Linked DNA regions of Struthio camelus. Each later gene encodes a partner of the first gene's protein in a complex. Links are inferred from orthologs where the notes say so. Each region holds a gene or a part of one and is shown on either strand. Other genes may lie near its edges.

What was found.
Region 2: VPS39 (region 1) and VPS41 share a complex: the UniProt entries of both Homo sapiens proteins name them as parts of the homotypic fusion and vacuole protein sorting (HOPS) complex. The link is inferred for Struthio camelus from reciprocal best matches to the Homo sapiens genes VPS39 and VPS41.

The regions. Positions count from the first base shown.
Region 1 is NC_090946.1:42,487,160-42,498,000, forward strand, and holds the start of VPS39 (vam6/Vps39-like protein), read right to left. Parts: upstream 5,114-10,841; 5' UTR 4,924-5,113; coding exon 4,851-4,923; intron 4,681-4,850; exon of another isoform or gene 4,297-4,680; intron 3,354-4,296; coding exon 3,288-3,353; intron 1,974-3,287; coding exon 1,909-1,973; intron 1,092-1,908; coding exon 1,049-1,091; intron 18-1,048; coding exon 1-17. Other genes in the region: TMEM87A (transmembrane protein 87A), read right to left, coding at 9,812-9,853. UniProt on the Homo sapiens protein: Regulator of TGF-beta/activin signaling, inhibiting SMAD3- and activating SMAD2-dependent transcription.
Region 2 is NC_090943.1:57,831,352-57,842,464, reverse strand, and holds the start of VPS41 (vacuolar protein sorting-associated protein 41 homolog), read left to right. Parts: upstream 1-6,041; 5' UTR 6,042-6,090; coding exon 6,091-6,111; intron 6,112-10,753; exon of another isoform or gene 10,754-10,768; coding exon of another isoform or gene 10,769-10,780; intron 10,781-10,869; coding exon 10,870-10,908; intron 10,909-11,113. UniProt on the Homo sapiens protein: Plays a role in vesicle-mediated protein trafficking to lysosomal compartments including the endocytic membrane transport and autophagic pathways. Acts as a component of the HOPS endosomal tethering complex.

The DNA.
Region 1 (10,841 bases):
GACATAAATGTTATTCTCTGTTTTAAACAAAACTCCAATTATTGTTCAATATTTAACACATGTAGAGCTCATTGTTATTCACACAAGTTATCACAGTTTACAGCAAAAGAACTTGTGAGAGAAAATCAGAGTTGCAAGAAAGGAAAAGGAATGTTTTTCCGACAACTGAAAAATGAGTGCTGACGCACAAGAATACATGATGATAAACACCGAAGAGAGGACTAAAACCAGCTTTGGCAAATTACATGAAGAAATTGAGAACAGGTGCTAACCAAGCAGAGGAAGTAGGAGTAAAAGGGACAGCAGGCAAACCAGAGCAGAGCAAGTTCACGATGGAAAACTGTATGAACAAAGACCATTTTGAACTGGCTCCTGAAATTAGTAGGAAGCAAACAGTCGCAAGTGGAGAGGGCTGTGGTCAAGTTTTTGTACGCACGAGGACGCAGGCAGCAGCAATCTACACATGCTGGAGTCTGAAGAGCTGGGACTTGGAGATCATAAAGAAGGGAGTAGCAACATAAGCAAAAAAAGACATAGGAAGATCATAAGGTTAAACAAATATAGTCAGAGCCAAGCAAACTTAGACCTTCCACAAGATGGTAAAAGACTGCCGTCCGCATATAAGCCAACATTGGCATAATGCATCAACAGCAAGTTTCACGCATCAAACAAGTTCGGATAATAGAAGTTTTATCCTCTGTCATACAGTGCACACCCACACAAAAACATGTGTGTGTTTGAGGGGGGAAGGGTGGAAGTGTGAGTGTATACATATAAACACCCACACACATACAAACCATACATTATTTTTAAAATTACAAAAGTTAGTGTTAATACTTTGTTCTCCAAGCTCGTTTATGACAAGCAAAGCTGCTTCTCAGTCTATGCTGCATAATGCTTCCTCTGCAAAGTCAAAAAGCCCAAATCCTAGACAATGACTTTTCAACAACTAGACCACTATGCAGGCGTGTGGAAGGGGTGTCACATTCAGCCAAGTAACTGTACCGAGAAGAGTTCACTAAATATTAAAACATTTTTTTCCACTTACCTAACAGACTGACCAGAATTTTAAATTGGGAAACAACATGAATCTGAAAGAAAGAGTTCTATCAGAGCCTACATTCACAAGCCAAACCTCTGACTGAGGCTTGATTATAGATAGTCTAAAAACAATGAATCTTATATACTATTAAAATAATGAAAACAGCAAGGCACCTATCTATGCACTGCCTCTCTCTCCAGCCATTGTAACCCTTTTCACTTATACCCAAATTTTGCAAGCTAGCACACAGAGCTTGTCACCTAAGCTCGTAAGAAAGTTTGAAATAAGGAATATGTAGCAGTACAAACGTACATCTAAAGGAAATACAGGAACTTGCCGAAAGAGGCTGCACATAATCTTTTTTGAGTACTTTCCTGAGTATGAATATTATGAGCTAAAGTTCCCCAAAAATGAAACAGTAAGAAGACCTGACTGAAAATAGCAACAGTTACTTTAGTTCTAAATTTCAACTAACAGGAATTACATTCACATTGTATAACCAAGAGTCAAACAATATATCACAGTCTGTAGGTGTGAGCACTACCATCATTTTTTATGAATATTCCCAGTCAGAGCAGCTGGAGGATTACTGCAAACTAAAGCACTTCCATAAAATCCAGAAATGAAATGTGAAGTCCCAATTCTTAGCATTCTGCTTTAGCAGCCAAATCAAGCTTCCTCCTATTATAGGAGGAGACAGTGGACTAAAACACCAGGCTGTGCCGCCCCCAGAAGAACCCATAGCTTTGGATATTTTTTTTCTGTTAAAACTAGCCCAAATGCCAGAAGTACATTTGACATATCAAGATTTCTTGGCTGACAACACAATAAAACTTCCCCCACATCAAGAAGCCGGTATTTCCTACCTGCTGAATCTTTTTGGAGAAGTTCTTGTTGGATTTCTCTAGCGTCACCTCAAACCTATTGCAACCTACCAAAGAGATTTGAGAGAACACGTTAACTGAAGTTACCTGTAAAGTTATGACTGAATAAATCTTACACTAAATAGAACACAGAGAATTATGAAATCAAAATTGATCACTTAACACCAGAAGAATGACTCTAATGTCTTTGTGCTATCTTTTACTTAACAGTTAAATGCATCAGAAGGTCTTCCATGTAGCCAAGCAAAGATTTAAATTATACTTCCTGTACCCATCCGAGGACCTCATCAACAATTAAGATTTTTGCCTTGCTGGGATTTTAGATTACAACATCTATTATTTAAATATTTTCAAACCGAGAGATACAAAGGTACCCAAAGACTTTATCTATACCACTCAAATGTCAGCAATTTAAATTGCTAGGGAACACATCACTGCAAAGTAGACAAGAAATAAACACTGCACCACAAGGGTTTAAAAGGAGTTTTAGGGATAAAGACTTACAGACACTTTCTGATGACATAACCTCTCCTGGCACTGATGCAAAAAAGGGGGAGAAATTTACCATGTGAGATAAAACACTAACGACTCAGGACTAACACGTTCTCATCGGAATAGATGGCCTACAAGTTTCGGAAAAAGCAAGCTGAATTCAGTCTCAAAAACCCAAGTAGCTACACATAAACATCCTTCCAAAAGCTGATGCACTTGGGAACAGATTTTTTTCTCCTTTGCTATCGTACGTAATACTACATTAGCGTGTTTAATAACACGGGTTTCTACACAACAACAGATAACGTGAAATAGAGACCTGTTTAGTGAAAGCCAGTTATAACTAAATCTAAAAATATAATAGTGCTCTTTGTGGCATCTCCAGAACAGACTAAGAACTGACCGACTGTCCAAGAGGCAAGTAGAAGAGTACATGTATCATAGAACTAGTTAGGGGGGTTCCCCCTCCCCCATCCTGTAACACCAGTGAATAAAGCTCTTAAATGAAAGACTGGATTAGTAGATCAGTAACAGATGACAAGCATCAGATCTCTGACAACTAGTACAGCGCACTGCTTTTGTCTGCATTTCTCTACAAGTATTGCAGTCACAAAAACTAAACCAACTTACTGTATGGAGACCTAATATAAAACATATTTAAAGATAGAAGGTAGGCAGATATTACTTGCCATCTTTCTTATACATCTGATAAACAGTATGTACACTTCCACTAAAGATCCCACACAATATCAAACTCTAGGCATGAAAAAATTAGCAATTAAACATTTGTGTTAATGTCACTATAACCTCTAAAGCGCATGAAATAAAAATACCACTGCCTTTTTCTGCCGTTCTTAAAATCAACTTACCTATATCTTTCTTGATCCTGTAAAGGAGAAGATGCCCTTGTTTGGTACCAACGAGGAGCCATTCCTCTACAAAGAGTGGGGAGAAAAGAATCTAATCAGTATCAGCAAAGACCACTCTTAACCACCTCTGTTACATTTATCAAATACCAGGAAACTTGCTTCAAATTCCTAATAGGGATTTATGTTGCGAGACATGCATGTTTCCCATCATTTCTCTGGTGGAAATGCTCAGTAGTAGCTTTCATTCTTGGGAGATAATATCCGGGAATCAAGCAGTAAAAATGAGACTACAGCTTAGATATTACCTACTTGTTCTTAGCAAGGTAGAGGAACAAGCAATTGCATCTTTCATGCAATTAAAAGAGATAATAAACTATTCTTCAGATACCATCTCCCAGAGAGGAACAGTGCTACATAATGGGGGGGGAGGGGGGAGGAAGAGAGGGGGGAAGCCAGGGGAAAAAAAAAAAAACTATAGAAATTACATTAGGTTAGGAGTATTAAGAGGTTTGTTTTGTTTATAATAGTCTTTATGAAGGAGTAGCAATGCCTGAAAGGATTCCGGCAGCTTTGCTTAAATTGCACTTGAACTGCTTGGAGACTCATTTAGATTCATTTAGAATTTACAAAAATACACTTTTTTTTAATTTAAAAACTCTGTTGTTGAGGGTTTCAAATTTGTCCAGTGTATAGCATCTGTCATACAAAAGTCATAGTACCTTTATTTGGTCATTAAATTTGACTGAAATTCTTCCTCCCTGATGCAGGTCATATAAGAAACAAGCATAAAAGAACATTTCTCTCTAGCATCACTACTTCCTCATTACCAAACTACATGTATTTTAATAAAACCTTGTTTCCTGGAAGGCCTTTCCTCCACTATTTGGTAGAAAAGCTGCAGAACCAGAATTACAACTTTTTTAAAGCAAGTATGCTTCACGGGCTGTTTCGGCTTTTTTCTACTTCAGCAAAAGAAGGGCTTTCAAAGAGAGAAGGATAAAGGCCTCACCACAGAAACAAACAATGCTCGCATCTTCTCTAGTACAGAGTCTAGCGCGAACGACCACGTTTAGGTTTGGCAGCACTACTCAAGTTATAATTTCGTCCTTAAAAAAAAAGATTACACGGGTCACCGATCCAGAGAGTCTAGGATTTTTTTAATTACTCATTTTCTTCCACGACACTACATCTGCTGGACACTGCTCGGGCCGCTTGCGAAGCTGTATCGGCGCGGACAGAGGAGCGGGCGGACAGCAGGAGCGACCAAGACCAGATCAAATCCTTTGCAGGCACGGATGCCCCCAAAACATAACCGATGCATCTACAGGCCACTAACACACGCGGAGAGAGGGTAAAACCAGGACTCCAGAAGCGCAACCTCAGCACACCGCAGGCTCCCTACGGCAAAGCCCGGACACGAACAGGCCGCGTTTCTCTCAGCTCGCCCCGGCCGGGCCGCCCGGCACCGCGGCAGCCCCCTCCGGAGCCGCCCGGCGCCCCCTCCCCTCCCGCAGTCCCTCGGCGGCAGCAGGAGGCCCGGCCCGGCCCGGCCGCGGCGCTCACCCCAGGCCGCCAGGCAGTCGATCTGCAGCGGCAGCTTCTCCAGGATCGGTACATGCTCGAAGGCGTCGTGCATGATGGCGGCGGCGGCGCCGCTCCCGCCCACCCGCCCACCGACCCACCGGGAGGAGGCAGCCGGCGGCGCGGGGGGAAGAGCGGGCGGGGCGGGAGGGCCCCGAGGGAAGCGGAAGCAGCAGCAGTAACGCCGCCGCCACCACCGGCGGTGGACCCGCAGCGCCCGGCCCTTCCCGGCAGCCCCCGCGTCCCGCCCCGCCGCCGCCGCCGCCGCCGCCGCTTCCGCCTCGAGGCCCCGCCCCCAAGCCCTCCCCTCCCCGGGGCAAGCCCCGCCCCCTGCGCGGGGTGGGTGGGGCCGCCGGAGGCCACGCCCCCGCCGGCGGGGAGGAGCCGCGGAGCGCCGCGTTGGGGCCGGGCTCGGCTGGGATGTGCGGTCGCCCAGGCTGCCGCCGGCCCCAGCCCTCACCCCGACGGAAGAGTCGCCTCGGCGTACGGCCAGAGAAGGGGTCAGGCTTTAAGAGGATAATTTCGCCTTCTCGTAGTGAGGCTGGTACCGGAGCCCGCTGCTGACGCGAGACTGGAGCGCACGGGAAAGCCAGCTGGTGCAGAGGAGGACAGAAGCTGACCGGCACAACCTAAGAAAACTGGACAAGAATATCAGCGTACCTCTTGCAAGGGAATAAATGCCTGTTTTTGACGGTCCCGTTATCTGTGTGACTTCACATTCCTTTTCTCTTTAGTACGATTACGTTTGCAAAAGGATCGTTATCCCTTTTAAAAGACAGAACCCCTTTTCCAGATAAAACCCTTCATGTGGCCAAGGGCCAGCGAACTTGCGTTCTTGTTAGGAAATCTTTACTTGTGATGCTGCCCCTTCCCAAAAAAGCCCCCGTCGCAGCCACAGCAGCAGCAAAAGGCGCAGCATCCGCCAGCGTCTCCCCCAGCAGCAGCTGCTGCGTGGGGACAATGGACTGAAAATGCTCCGAGCCAGAGACCGACGCGCAGGGGCGGGAGAGCGAGCGTGGCGCCCCTTAGCCAACTTCTTCCCTGCTCGGGGCTTCCCTACGGCTCACATGCCAGGTCACATCCTTCCCAGACAAGAGAGCTGCAGGCTGCAGCTCAGGCGTGCATCAGGGCTCCTTGCCCTGCACCTCCTACAAAACGAAGAGGAGCAAAGCACCGGTATTAGTGAGAGAAAAGTAAGTTTCTGTTACACCAAATAACTACAAGCAAACAGGTGCAATCCATTTTTACCAGGCTGCAAATTACACGCCAGGCATTGGCCTCTTCCGGTTTGAAGGAGTAGAAGTAGCATACCTCGCCCTTAACATACAACATAAAATGCCGTATTAATTGAACAGAATGCCAAAAAAACCACAGACTTCACCCTCTACATCTGTGATATTTATAAGACAAAAATACCCTTTCCTACCCCCAGTCTTATGATCTTGACTCACTCTGTGCCTATCAAGCCTGTTGCATTTCTTTACCACATCATGTGACCCCCTACACACTACTCCGTCTCTCCTTCAGCGCTTCTAGCAGAGGCATCTAGCACCATAATGAAAAGCAAGTCAACATCGTTATCTTCCACACTACTACTTTGTTTTCACAGCTTTCTGTATGGCATGCATATGCTACCACTGCATTAGTAATATCACACTTTTCACAAACAAACAAACAAACAAAAAATCACACACAAAACTAATCAGGCCAAGAGAACTCCAAAAAAGTCCCTCTGTATTTGAGTTGCTGACATGTTACATTTTTTGTGAGTGGAGCACTATCTCAGTTGAGAAGAGCTAAAAGACCTTCAGAGCCCAGATAGGTTGTTACAGATAACGTCTGAAGTCAGCAGCCAAGTTTCTTCAAGAAAATTCAGTTTCTACACGTTCTAATCACTAACAACTTCTGCAGATCTCAGACTGAAGACTAGTTACATGTTTTCTCCCTCTTCCTCACCGCTCTTCTTTAGGTCTTCAGAATAGTCAGTACCTTTTGTTTTAAATTACAGCACCTGTTTTGAAAGAATGGGTATAAATGTGACTTTTAAAGTCATCTCTGCTGTGCAGAGGTAAATAAACCTGCAGGATTTTATGGCTAAGCTTTCCTATTAAATCACGGAGCCCCTACACCTATGAGGTTTAAGAGCAAAACCAAGAGTCAGGGGAGAGTAAAGACTGCCTTAGCAGAACCAGCACACCTGCCCCAGCATGCTGCCGGAGGAGAGGCTGTGGTACCGCAACGCCTTTGCACACGTACCCTTTGTTCACCATCCACGTCTCAGCTGCTCATTCCCTGCTTTTAGCCACCTCTTCTGCAGTCCTAACTGTGGCTGCAGTTGAGCACGTGCCATAGCCTGCTTCCTACCGTGGAAACAGATCCCTGATACAAGTTCTCCGCAGGAGTGCAAACAAGGCAGTCACAGCACAGGCCTGCCGCTGCACGCTAAGAAGCAGATGCTCCTTTCCAAGGACATGGAAACTGCCAACCAAGTGGAAAAATAAGAACAGCTATCTACAGGAGCAAGAAGCTATAACCAGAAGGCATAACAGAGCAAGCCATCATAGAATTCAGGACAGTTCTAATACTGATGCAAGTTTCCACCCCTGCGATAAGGGAGGAAGTCAGAAGACAGCTCAAACCTAGTAGACTGAAAGCATCCCACATCTACAGTATTTATTTTGGTCTTTAACTAATTAGTCACCCTGGTTCTGTAACAGGAAAACAAATTTTCACTTTTGTTCAGAAATTTGTGATTTGCCCAGTCTATATTAGCTTTTCAGCTGACACAGGCATCCACTCAATTGGCACATTTAATGTAACTATTAGGGGGAAAATGTAACTATTAGGAATAACAGCACTTATGACTTTTGTAGTCATACAAAAAATGGTTAATTTCTCATATAAGGGAACAGGTAGTGAGGAAATGGAAAGAAACCAAGTAAGTCTTTCTACTCTTTGCCTAGCTTTTATTAAATAGTACATACAAACTTCTTTTTTGTGCTTCCAGTAGAGAACGTTTTTCTCTATTTGTCTCAAAAAAAAAAATCAAGAGGACTTAAAAAAATAGCATTAAGTAGTCAGTTCAGTGTAGCTTTATTTCACAAAATTTCTTCTCCCCAGAAAGGCATGGAGGGTGTTTGTTTCATCTGTATCAATTAAGCATACCAAATTAAAAATCAAAATGTTTCCTAATTAAAGATTCTACAATATCTACCTGTGGCCAAAAGGGGTTGGCAGGAGAGCTCCGCAAATCTTGCAGAGGCAGATTAAGGTGTTAACGCCCCAGCTTTTTCTCTGCCCTTCTGCTATGAGGTTGCTGTCCCTCAGAGCACAGTTAACAGAAGGTACGTACGCTTGTGTTTCAACTATTCTACTGTAAAGTGCAGTGCTCCAGCATAAATTGTTGATGAATTAGAGCTAAGCTATCAGACTTTACAGTGGAATGAATGAAGTACAGTCACACATACACTTCTGCAGACGCAGCTATCGCAGCTATCCGCTATCGGCGAAGAACAAGAAAAGCTGACTCCCCAAGCCTGTCCAGCAAGATCCACAACTAGCATGTCTGACAGCTCCCTAAAAGTCAAGCTGTGTTGCCATTGCCTGCTAGTTATCAGTTGTAAAGATTATGAACTGTATCAATTAGAGCCTTTGTCATACAGCCTATAATGGGTTTCCCTGTGTAAGTTACTGCAAGTGAAACCTTCTCAGCCAAACTTAAAACAAAACCAGGAAACCACCCAAGATACTTCAAAGTTCTTTCCCCTTTAAAAAGCAGGGGGGGGGGGGGGGCGGAACGTACAGAATAGAAATCTGCAACTTTGACTGAAACACAATGATCAAATCAACAGAGTACCTCTTGACCATAGGGACTAACACAGGACAGGAAAGTACATCACCAAATCATTTACTTTAGAGGCAAGACTAAAGTGGCCTAAAGGGGATGGCCAGATAACTAAGACACTAGGAACAGAAATAGCCCAGCACTCTGTACTCTCATCAAAGCTTCGGTCCGGTAAGGTAAGCAGTGGTTGCTCCCTCTACAAAGCAACATCATCTTCTCATAGAAGAGTAATAATTTTTTGATGGGAGATGTTACATGTGCAGAGAAGAGAGTTATGCCAAAACATCCAGTTAATAGCTGCTTAGCATAATAGTCAAATACTTGCAGAGCTTTGCAGAAGTGGGTAGTGGGTTGGTGCGTGGGTTTTTTTTTTTGTTTCTTTGTTTGCTTTTTATTAGGTCATGCAACAATGGGAAGGTAGGGGCAAATCATTTTTCCAGGCATCCACCACATTGCCGGCAATGAGATGTGCCACAACAAATGTAAGCTTTATGCAACTGTTACCTATAGGTCAGTGACATTTAAAATAGAAAATCTTTCTTACACAGTGTTACGAATAAAATTGCACTTGATTTTGTTAAAAACCCATCATATCACTGTAACTTTTCCAAATATTTCCTTTCTGGCATCCTATTTCCTTCAGTAATAGGAACTGCTCTATAAAAACCTCTCACTGACATCTGCCAGAAAAGGGGTAGGTTGTTTTTCCAGTGCTTATTTCTATCTGTTCCCACCCTCCCCCCAAAACAATACAGGCAGTTGACCAGTAAATTGTAACACTGAAATATAAACTCCTCAAGCAGACATTAGGAATTTTAGTTTCACAGATTAAATATTTGAAAAGTTACAGAAGGTGCCAGAATAGTATACATTTGCTTAAAAATCCAAACTTGCAGCAACTTTGAAAATTCAAAATTTCCAAAAGGTGTATCAATGTCTTTGTGAACTTCTTCCACAGCAAGATGCCCTCATTCCAATAAAGCATCAAACTCCCAAGGCTGAGATCAAGAAACAAATCAGCAGGATGCACTTGATCCACCAAGCAACTTTAAGAGAGCTGTCTCCACATCTAATAGCAAAAACTCCATTTGCTGCTCCTTCATTCCATTTTGGACCTTTCAAAGTGTGTAATCATTCTTTCCTGCAAGACAAAAAAAAAAAAAAAAAAGACCTAGTTTTGTCATGTGGCTCTACATATTAACAGTATACAGAAATAAGGGGTTATGCCTCACATATTTACAACAAATGCATACTCATATGCATTTTAAGCCAGGAGTCCAACTTACACAGCAGGTATAACTTTCCATTCCAAAAGAAAGGGTATACGTTTCCATCCACAAGTTACTAGTTCACAGGACTACAGGTCAGAGGTCATGTCATTCACACATGTATTATTCACATGCATCATAATTTTCACTGCTGTGAAAGTAACTTTCCCTCACTAGCTGATGAGTTGTACTGTTTGCTCCTGCTCCAGATACCAGCTTAGTATGGACTCCCCTTTCAAACACTTACACACGGGATTCTACTGTGAGATACAAAAATATGAAGGACTACCTACATAAAGGGTCCAAATAGTTATTTCAGCGCTGTAATATTCACCTTCTTTCTCATTACATCTTCCTGACAATTTAACTCCAGCATAAATTTGTTATTTGTTAGCAAGTTGACTGACACTATCTGGAGATAGACCTTGGGGAAACAGCGATGGGCACGATAATACTAGTAACATGGGACAGAGCCATCATTTAAAAACCACAGTGCTATGACAATATCCTCTACACTATTCATCATTGCTGTGTAGCATTTTAAAAAGTAGTTACCAGAAAAGCCTTCTGAATTCCCAACGTGCATTTTTTGACACTAACACAAAGTTATGCCAGAAGACTCGAAAATACTTTGCTATTATCATTTCCTCTAAATGCATTACAGTACTTTTCAAGTGATACATTAACTAATGGTATCATGATACCAAGAGTATCTGCTACCCACAACGTTAATTAAAAGTATTCTCCAAGCTACATAATTCAGCTGCTTTTCCACAGCATAACATCCCTCCCCTAAGAGTTCACGTACAAAGGGAAGAGGAGAAACTGAGTGGTAAAACCACAACTGAGTATGCAAAAAGA
Region 2 (11,113 bases), on another chromosome or scaffold:
GTTTAAGCTAGCTCTTGAGACCCTTGGACCAAACAGTATCTTAGGACTGTTATAACCACTATGGGCTAATTTTAAATTAGGGCAATCTGAGTGTTTTCTTTGATGAAAATGCTCAAATTATATTTCTGTATGACAATGGAATATTGTTCTTATTAGAAACAAACACTAATGCTGCTTTAAAAAGATGAAAATAATGAATAAACAGCTAGGAGAATATATAAGTGATAAGTGAGATTTATTAAAGGAATATGTAGGACCTCACAACAAGAGAACAAACACCAAAATATCCTCATGAAAGTAGTGAAAACATCTATTATATGTTTATATCTCTAGACTTTCATTTTTTATAATTTGCTTCAAAGAGAAAAATTCAATGGCAATAATTTTAAATTAAAGCTAGAAATCACAAGTATATAGATTACGGGAAATAGAAAAAATAAGTCAACAGTAGAAGAATTAAAGACAATAAAAAGGAATGTTTTAATTCTATTAGGAAAGAGAAGGAATCCTAAAAAGAAATGACAGAAAGAAACGGTAGAATTATTCACAATAATAAAATAAACGCAAAAGCGTTCAGTATTTTGCATTAGTTTAATACCGAGTCATGTCCTGATGGATGCAATTCAGGAAAGACGGTAATATACTGGGATGTAGAGCAGACAACATCCACAGAGATGACTGGCAGAACATAAAACATCTTTTATGAATGACTCAGTGAAATCTTTATATTTAATTTAACAAATAACAATTAAGAAGTGACTTCATGTTAGGCTACAAGAACTCACATGGGGAACAGAAATTTGATAATACAGGACTCTAAAGTTGCAAGATAGAAGATGACATAATGGACATAATGAAGTGGTTCAAAGCAAAAGTTACATAAATTTAAACTTGAAGTAGAGGTAATGAAGAATTGTTATGCTAGTCCTGCAATACTAGATGTAAGCAGTACTCCTCAAAACTGGAGGAGATTATAGAAGATCAGTTTGAAGCAGAAAAAAGGAGAGAATTTCTTTAAGCAGAAGGAAGAGAATTTCTGTGATTCACTGCCTCAGGAGACTGTGGAGGGAAGCAGTATTAGCAGGTTCAAAAGAGAGAAACTCATCAACAGTGAGTTCATTAACAGATACTAAAAAGAGCAGTCAGGGCAAGAGCCTTCTAATGTGCCTAGTTCCAAGCAAGCAGATGCTGGGTGATGCAGGAGGAGCAAAAAAGCATCTCTTATTGCTATGAATGGAGACCAAGTACTGGCCTAGATGGATTATCGTTCTGACCCACTAAGATGTTTCTTTTACATTCTTTATTTTTTCTAGCAGTAAGTATAATTGCCCTTGAAATGACTTATCAAAGCTGCAGGGAGTTCTATGTAATTGGTACTATTATGTCAAGGTTAGAAAGTTTTTGTAAAAAACTGACACAAAGAGGAATTAATTCAAGTAAACCTCATGGCCCATGTTAGGGAGGAGTTCAGATTAAATCACAATGCTATTCCCTTCTGGCTTCATAATCTATAGATCTATGAAATTATCTTCGAGTAAAATAATTTTTCAGCCTCAGACTTGCTCCATCTTTCCCAGGTCCTTAATATTTTTAACTACAAGGTTTTCAAAAGGGTCCCTTACTACCTCTTCCTTTATATATAGCCTTTGTTTATCTTTAATAAATGGATAATTGTACAGGCTTTATGATGTTCACTGTGCTTCACTCTTTTTCATTTCTGTGTGCTCTACCCTGCACAAGAAGGTATCTTTCAATAAAGATTGCCTGAAAATGGAGAACGGAGCAGAAAGGGAGTGAGGGTTAGAGGAAGAAAGAAGAGACTTAGGGAAAACACTATTCCTCAAGGAACTGAAGATAATTTGAGTATAATTTTGAAAAGTCTTAAAATGCCAGGGAACACAGAACAACTATTTTAAAGAATTTGTAATAATCTTTCTGATATTCTTATTGCTCTAATTTTCATAAAATGGCTGATCATTTAAACTTAATTTAAATGTGCTGCAATGGTGGGACAGAGCAGTAATGAGTACTTCCATTTCTTCCCTTTTTGGTGATATGACAATTTACATGGAAGTAAACTTTACAGTTAGTATGATGCTCATACAGTACTACATGTTTAACCAAAAAATATTTATTTATACTTGTTAATGACAATCCTACAAAGACTCACACATGAGCTTAGCTTTAAGAGCATGATTAGCCCCACAGTTTATCTGTTCATGATAGACAAAGATATTTATATGCATAGGACTTTGAAAAATTAAGGCTTTTCTACTCGTGACGGATAATATCTGCCCCAGGAATACTTGTAAAGCTTTCCTACTCGTGACTGATAATATCTGCCTTGGGAATACTTCTATTGAAGAGAACGACAGCAACTGGGAAGAAAAGTATCCCTACATTTGCAAGACATTTGCCTAATCTTGCTTCAAGACATTAAAGCATATATATTTAATGTTCTGATTTATAATTGAAAGAGTTTTCATATTCATTGTTCAGATACTTCTTTCAAGAGGAAGTGTCATAAAATAAAGGTTAAAAGTGAACTAAGAAGAAAAAAGTAAACATTTGCAAAACAATATAATGCTAACAGGTGGAATAGGATCTTTTTATAAAAGTATGGAATTCCTGAACATATTCAAGGTTACATGCATGGAAGCTATGGTGCAAACTGAAAGTATGTTCACAAAAATAATTCTTTGATAGCAAGTGAAAAAAGAAAAGCCTTTGCAAGTTTCTTTCTACAAACAAACAAACAGAAAGAGGAAAGCCTTTGAACTTCCATTGTTCTGACAACAATATCAGCTAGGTTTTATCCAGCACAGTGTTTTTAAATGCTATTAACTTACAGACTACACCATGTTTTTTTTACTGAATAAGTGGTGGTGAGAGTGGAGAGAGATAACCCAGCTGAATATTTTTTTGGATGAATCAGTCCTACTTGAAAGCAACTGAGAGCTCTTGGAGCCTGAAATACAATAATCTCTACCAAATGGCATTGATACTTGCTACTTGTTATGTTTCACACTAGTCAGAAAGAGTGTTAAAGAAAGTGAGATAGAAATTCTAGCAGTATTTGGAATCTGGATGTTGGTCAAGGTCCAAATTTCAATGATAATTCTGGTTTCTACAGCAAAAGATAAATTTAAAACTCCTGACACACTTTTGAATTTTATAAAGCTGGAAGTCCAGCATTCCAAATATGGGGGTATCAGCATCCTTTTATCAGAGCTCTGAAGAATTCCCATTAACTGGAAGCTCTGCATTAAAATAGGTACTGTGAACATTGAAAGTGTTGTGGTAAAGCTAAAATCTTTATTTTAAAGTCTTATTAGGTTACTTATTTTCAGTGAACTACATGAAAAACATACTGCCAGACTATTAATTGAGATGCGTCTGGGCCAAAACTCTATACCTAAACTTCAAAGTATTCATAATCTTACTAGCAGTCCCAAACATCTCTTGACTTGTCCAACTGACTTAACCAAAACTTCAGATCTATGTGCTGACAAACAACGAAAGATAATATTTTTTACTGTTAGGATAGAACATTCACTTCCCTTAGGCAGTGCTGCATTTTCTACTTATGCTGAACTATGCTTAAGCATTTTATCTCCACAGGTTGACTGTGATATTCTCAGGCATGAGTCTGCAGGATGCTGAGTGCTTTGTGGGAGGTGCTGAAAGATTTTAAATCCCATTGACGCCATTGGTACTTGATGGCTCTCAGCACTTTGTGGGGGAGGCGGGGGAAGAGGGGTGTCAGAATCAGAGGCTAACAAATTTTCCTGACCCAATGAAAACGTGTAATCATGGCAGATTGAATTCATACCTTAAGTCTAAACAAGAAAAAAAATATTTTTTTCTGCCAGAAATAAGTAACTTATTGCAAGTAAATCACATTGGTATACGACTTACTCTATGTGCAGTGAAAACAAGAACAGCTGTTCTTGGTTGCTCTGTTTGTAACAAATGTACCCTATTAGGTGTTATAATAGCAAAGTTTACAAGATCTGCCATCCTTTCCATTACACTCTGTTTTTCTTGGCATTTATAAAGTCTGTTATTAACAGTCATTTCAGTTTAAAAAATGCCACAAAACATCTCAGTTCAGGGGCAAAAAAACCAAAACCAAAACCATAAAGCAAAACCCCCCTAAATATTTTTTTCCTGAAAGTGGAAAAAAGCTTATCAGAGAAGGTTTCCTTTCACTAAATATACACAGTCTTCAAGTATAAGATAAGACAGCTTGTGCATTACATATTACAGGACAAATCCTGGCTACATTGATGGCAACGGTAATGTTTTCACTGATTTCAACAGGACTTCATTCCTCTGATACATGAGAATCTACTTCTGGTTCTCAATCTAAATGTACTGATAATAGCTGATACCTATTTGATCTCATTCCTTTGGTAGCTCTTTTTCCTCTTCAGCTCCTAATTGATCGCTCTTAGACAGGTCCTGGACTGAAGAAGCCAAGCTCTTTTTGTTCGGTCTTCTCCAATACGACAGACCTTAAATTTCTGTGATCCTTTTAGTAGTCTTTTGCCCCCTTTCAGTTTGAATCAATCTTTTTTTGAGCAAAGGCAACTGGAAATTTACAGTTAGTTCCAGATGAGGTCTCAACAATATCTTGTACAACAGCAGCCAAACATCTCCTTCTCTGTAGATATCCCTAGGCTTAAATAGCCAGGATTACATTTACATACCCCTCATAGTCCTTAGATGTTTGATAATAGATCAGAAATGAACGTTTTCTTGTACTATGTAATTTCCAAATGCAGTGTATTCAGGACAGTTATATCTACATGTTCTTGCACTGACATCAACTGTTAACTTTGATAGTCCTCTCTCATCCCAGTGTCAACCTCCCAGTCTATTTTTAGAGGACAGTCATATCTCTTCTCAGTAGAAATTCTGGCTATTAGTTTCTAAATGCACGACAATGATATGATACATGATTTTCATATCCATAATAATACTCTCCGCAATTAACTTTAATTGTATGTCCTTATGTCCATCCAGTTCTAGTATAATACCCTAAGATTTCTCCTTTATTGTCGGAGCTGACCTGCACTTTTTAAATTCTTGGCAGTGGTCCCATGGGTATGGACGTCGCACATTAACTGCTGCTCCACCTGAAATACGCAATAGCTCCACAGACAAAACCTGAATGATAGAAAGTATTGCCAGTTGCCTTTTAGCTTGGGTCATATTTTTAAGGTAAAAACGTAATTTGAGTGCAAACTCGGTGTTCAGATCTTAAGTTTTAAGAGAGGAAATGCAGCAGCTCTTAAGAGTTTTAGAAAGAAGCTCGGATTTTCTAAAATCCTCCGCCTGACTCTCATGTGCGTGTGAGGCCTTTCAATATTAACAAATTTGGTAAAGGTACAGAAAGAAAAGGACTGCTCCATGTCTTGCAAGAGGATCTAACTGAAATTGGAGCTGCGCTTAACCGAGGGCTGTTCAGGCAGATGCCAATAAGCAGCCGCTGCCCTGAAGAACGGACAGTCTAATACCAAAGGTGGCAACGCGCTGGGAGACGCGGGAGCTGGCTCCTGGCATCACCTACATCATCGTGGCGCTGAGGGTGCTGCTCAACTCTCGCTCACCAGGGACAATTCCGCTCTTTACCACCTCTGCCTTCTTCAGTCTTGCCAAAGGCGGGAGCTTTTGGGGGGAAGCCCAAGCTCTTGATATCGCGTGAACCTAGCTTAAAAAGGTGCTTTGCTCGCAGTTGAGGAGAGCAGTGGCGTCGGGAAATTCATGGTGTGGCCTGGAGCCCGCCCGGCCTCAGCCCTGCCGAGGCAGCGACCGAGTGGCACGGCCGTTAACCGTCGTTAACGGTCACTAACCGCCCCGCGCCGCGCCGCGCTCCCAAACCCCTGGGCAGGGGCAGGCACCTCTCCCGCACCAGCCTCACCACAGCCGCAGCTAGGCAAGACATCTCTTTCCCTCCCCCCCCCCCCCCCCCCAAAAAAAAAAAGAGGGAGGAGAACACGCCCCAGCCCTCCAAACTACATTTCCCAGAGTGCCGGCAGAGGCGCCGGCTTCCTGCCCCTCACGTGACAGCTCGCCGGGCCCGCCATGGCGGAAGCTGAGGAGAAGGTAGAGGCCGTGGGGGGGCTGTCCCGGGGGGCGAGGAGCCCCGGGGGCAGCGGGCCCTGGGGCCGGGGAGGCCTTTGGGAGCAGAGGGGTAACGGGACAGCGTGTGTGCAGGGCGATAAAGGGAGCCAGCGACGCCTCTGAGGCGTTGTAACGGCCCGGGGTGGGGTGGGGGGGGGGGCGTTGGGGGCTACGCCTGAAACTTTGCCGCGCCGGGGCGGAGGGGGATGGAGGAGGAGATGTTGGCGGCGGTGTGAGGCCGCTTCACTGCCGCCTCTGTGCGAGGGCAACCGCCTGGCGGCGGGGCCTGAGGCCTGGGGAGGCGGCGCGGCCGGTGCCGCCCGCCGCTTTCCGCGGGCGCGGAGGGCCCAACCGGTGCGCGGTTAAAATGCCGAGGTAGCTGTCCCGAGGGGTCAGTCTGGCGGGCTTTCCCCTGGAGCCGCCGGTGCGCGGTCGCGCCTTGAGGCCTGCGGGTTGGCTCCGCTGCAGTGTTGTAAGGAGTGGGACTGAATGTTGTTTTAATGTTGTACCTCGGTTTGTGCATACGTGTAGATGCACAGCGGAGACTTTAAAAGGAGGTGGGGGGGGGAGGCGGTGTTCCAAAGATCTCTGTGAAAGTATGGAAATAATTGGCTTTAAAGGCACACATTGTGTGACAGTAACGGGGGGGAAAATATTTAGCAGTTTTTGAAGTGTTCAGTCTCATTTCAGTCTCAGAAAACAGATTTTCTTTTCCCTTTAAGAATGATATCTTTCTCTGTCTTGCTCTTACCAAGCCATAGAACTGCTAAGGTGTTAGCATCATAAATTTTTTATAGGTTTGTTTGTTTATTTTTTTAAGATACCCCCTCCTATGGGACCCTTAGCAGCTAGGAGTCAGTTGTGATGGTAGGCTTTGAAATGCAACTGGTGTCTGTGTAGAGCAAGGATTAAGGAGCTAAGAGAAGAGAAGGCTTGGTCTGAAATGATTGGGAAACTCTTTTGGAGAGTGGTGCAGAAGATATGGGCAAATTAATTTCGACAGTGGAATTCTCTCCTGAGACAAAATTTGAACCGTTTGGGCTTTATTCTGTGTCCTTAGGACCCACGGTTCTCTAAAGTGATGGTCCTCATAGAACTCTCTTGCCTTAGACTAATTTCCTAAGAAAATAATAAAAGCTTGAAAAGAAGTGGCTTGCTGCTTTCAAATATTTCTTAATCTGTTTCATTACTGAATTTTTTTTTTTTTGACATAGTACTAGGCAGTATGACGTTTTTCTCTGTTGAACACCTAAATGTGGGAGAGTTCTTAAATTTTCTCAAGGAAATGGGTCTTAATTGGTATTTGGTAGATGCATCTGGTTTGCACCTTTCTTGCTGCCATGGGTTTTGTTCGGCAAGGCTGGTTTCTTTTGAGAAGGCTTGGTTGCCTGATTCAGCAAATTTTTAAATGTAGCAGCGTTCAAAAGAATTCTTAGAATAGGACCAACTCTGATGAAACTTCTTATCTTATTTAAAAAATATAAGAGATTAAAACAACCTGTGTTTTGCTCTCTTTGTGCTATGGTATAACAGTTATCTAATTCACTTGTTTATTTTGTATGTAGAATATGTCTTCCTCCACTGAAAGGAATCTATAGGTTGTGCATGGAGATAAATGATTGCATGATTTCTTTGAAATCCAGGTTTCATGATTTATTCCCCTCCCAGCAGATTATTGGCCTAAAAATATAGTTGATATTGTCTGTTTTTGTGGGGGGGGGGGGAGAAGGGAAAGCCCCATATCCATCATATTGGAAAGCTGGATTAAGAATTTATTGAGCAGTTATGTTGGATCTGCTAGCTGGGTGATTTTAACAGTCAGAGATGATTTTACATTTCTGTGGTTTTCTCATCTGTGTTCCCTTCTTCTATTCTTAGGCTTCTAGAGCAACAGCATTTGCCAGCTGACTGAAGTGTACAGTAACGCTACTGTTCATTTTCCCCCTAGAGTCTGACAGATCTACCAATCAATGGCAGTTATTCCTCATGATTTGGGAATCTGGTCACCTACTAATCCCTGATGAGGGGTTTGCTCTTCACAGTTATGAGACTACTAAGAAGTCAAAGTGGGGGATAATCACCTTGGTTCATGCATTTAAAGGAGGGGGGGGGAGGAATAACAAAATTCCAAGGCAGTCGTAACTGCAGTTTGCTACTGTAGTTTTGCCTACGGGAGTGGGACAAAAACCTTTTCATAGTAAATTGCTAGCATAGTGAGTTAGCAGTTACTTGTCTAACAGTCTAGCAGTTACCTTTCTAAACACCTTCAGCTAAATTCTTGTTCAAGGAACAAATACAGTTTATGCCTTTATTTCTGAAGCCGGGGCTCCCTTTGAACTTTTGCGTGTCATTTCTTTTAGTAAAGCATAAAGGCCTTGAAGCATTTAAAGTGTGCCTGTATGTATACGCGATTTATGAAATCTAGTGGCTGCAATTGCAGTGGCTAACAAATGTAGTAAGTAGGGATACCAGGGTATATGTTCTAGACAACAAGAAGTTCATATTTTTTGGTTCACAGAGATTTGGTTATTTGAGTCAACTTCTGGTGTGTCTTGATTTTGTAGGCCAATATTTCTCAAGTTGTTATTTGGAAGGGTGTCTTTGGAGCTTACTGCAGTCTTTGCTTTAAGTGACTCAGCTGAACGGGAAGATGGACTGGTGTAACAGCAAGAGGGTTGTTACTCCACTGTGTGTGTCAGTCTATCTTTGTGGTGTTACACAGTAACCTCACCTTGAAAATTCTTGTCCCTAGTTTTACCTACGCTTCTGTTTTGCCGAATAGCTGTAATAATTGGAAGCATGTGAAATAAAAATAAGTGATGTAGCTGCACTAGCAAGTATCAAGAGTACCAGCAGAAATGTCACTTGCAGTAGCAGCTTATTTTGTTTGGGAGTGCAGGCTAATGTTTTGTTTTTGCAAACAAATTCTTCTGTTGATAAAGAATAAACCTGCTCTAAGGTTCTTTGTTTATGTAACTTCAGACATAATCAAAAACCTTGCTAAGTTTAGGCAGAGCTCTTGGAAGAATGGGAATCATGTGGAAATAACAAAATGATAGATCCAATACCTTTGGTTTATAAAGGGCTGATTAGGCATCTGCAGGCTCTTCAGGAGTCAGAGGCAGTTCTCCTGTTAGAAATCTGGTGATGTTTTGCGTTGTACTTTGTGTGTTGTGATACCTTCACTGTTGATGTTACATCACCATGTTTTAGCTCTATCATCATTTGGTTCTTGTTGTTAAGTAGATTTTAAGATGCATAGAGATTCTATGTAATAAAATCCTCATGTCCTAAAAGGTGACCGCATCTTGTGAATGGAGACCATGAAACTGACTCGCAGCCAGTAATACTTGCAAAGTCAAACCTTAGCTTGAAGGGGTGCTAGGATTTCACTCCCTCTTCATCCTGCCTTGCCTCCCATATTTCTTCTTGCCATTCCGCAACTCGTGTCATGAATATAGGATGCATAGATAGCCCTTCTATGGGATGTATGTTTTAGAGGCAGGCCTGACCGCAGTAAATAAAGTGCGGGAAATGGATGACAGTAATTGTGGTAACACCTTTCCCTGAATTTCAAATAGAAAGTACAAATGCTGCCTTTCTTTTCCCTCATGTGTATCTCTAATCAGGTGTGAGAGTCACTGTAGGTGAACCTCTGGTAGTGCAAAGGAGACCCTTGCTTTCTGCCCTGAGGTCGTGATAAGTGCATGTTATAAACAGGGAAAATAAATAAGCTTGACAAACTAAAGATGACACTGGTCATCAGTGCCTTAAATTTTCTTCCCATTTCTCTTTATGCTGTTGGTAACTATCTCTTTTTTTTTTTGGCTTCTTTTGTGAAATTCTATACCTACTTAGCTTATTGTCCAGATATTACTTCATAAGATTTGAAACACCACCTTTTCTCATGATCATTCTTTGTTTATATCATGCGTTATTGTTAAAATGCTTACGTTCACTGTCAGCGTATTAGTTGTAACCTTTTATTGCTATTGATAACAATAAATACGTTAAGTAAATCTACATTTTGCTGACCTCTTTGAGAAGGCATTGCATCAGCAGATTTTACCAGTGGACAGTGGGAGATTAGCAGGAGTTGACTTAATTTTTTTTTATGGTACAGTAAGATTCATCATCTTGCCAGAGAGAGGTTTTAAAGGTACAGTTGCATCAAAGGCAAGAGAAAGGCGCTTTGTTTGCATTGATGTGGCATGGGAAGGAAAAAGTCATTAAACTTGCTTTCTTGATGGCTTTCTATGGAAAATGGTTTGATATTAGTTTATTTTAAGATAAGTATGTTGATAGCTGGATACCAAAGCTACTTTATAGATAACTTGAGAATGCTGTTCTGCCCTTGTGTGTCAAGGGGTGGGAAGTTGCTTTTTATGGAATTTATTAACGTTTCTGGGGGGAGGGAGAAACTTTCACTGGGACCTGACACTTTATCAGATGATGCCCTCTCTTTTAGAGGAACCAACAGTAGTATCACAGTCAACTGGTGCCACTGAGTGTCAGTGTGGCACTAGATTACAAGTATAAGCACAAATTGGCTATGAATGTAGAGGATAATCATTTCTGACATGTTCAAAATAACTCTGAACCTCTGAGCTGCTTCCGCTTTGTCTTCTGTCCCATAATAATGGTCAAAAAGGTAATTAAAAGGGGGACTATTGCTCAGTTGTTTAGGTTATATATGTACTTACTTAATTTTTCCTTTGTTCTTCTTTGTATTGTTTTCAGGAAACCAGGTCTAATGAAGAATCAACAGATGAATCTGAGGTAAGCCTCCTTAAGATACTTCATACCTGAATTAGTTTCAGTACCTAGTCCTTTGTCAGTATGGAGAGAAAAATATTACTCTCATTAGTTTGTTCTGGTGGGTGCTTATTTAGAAGTTGTTCTTGTACTATAGTAGTGAATGTTACGCTGGGGTTAAATGATATAAAGGAGCTGTGGTTTGCTATTAAAAAGCTACTTTATATTT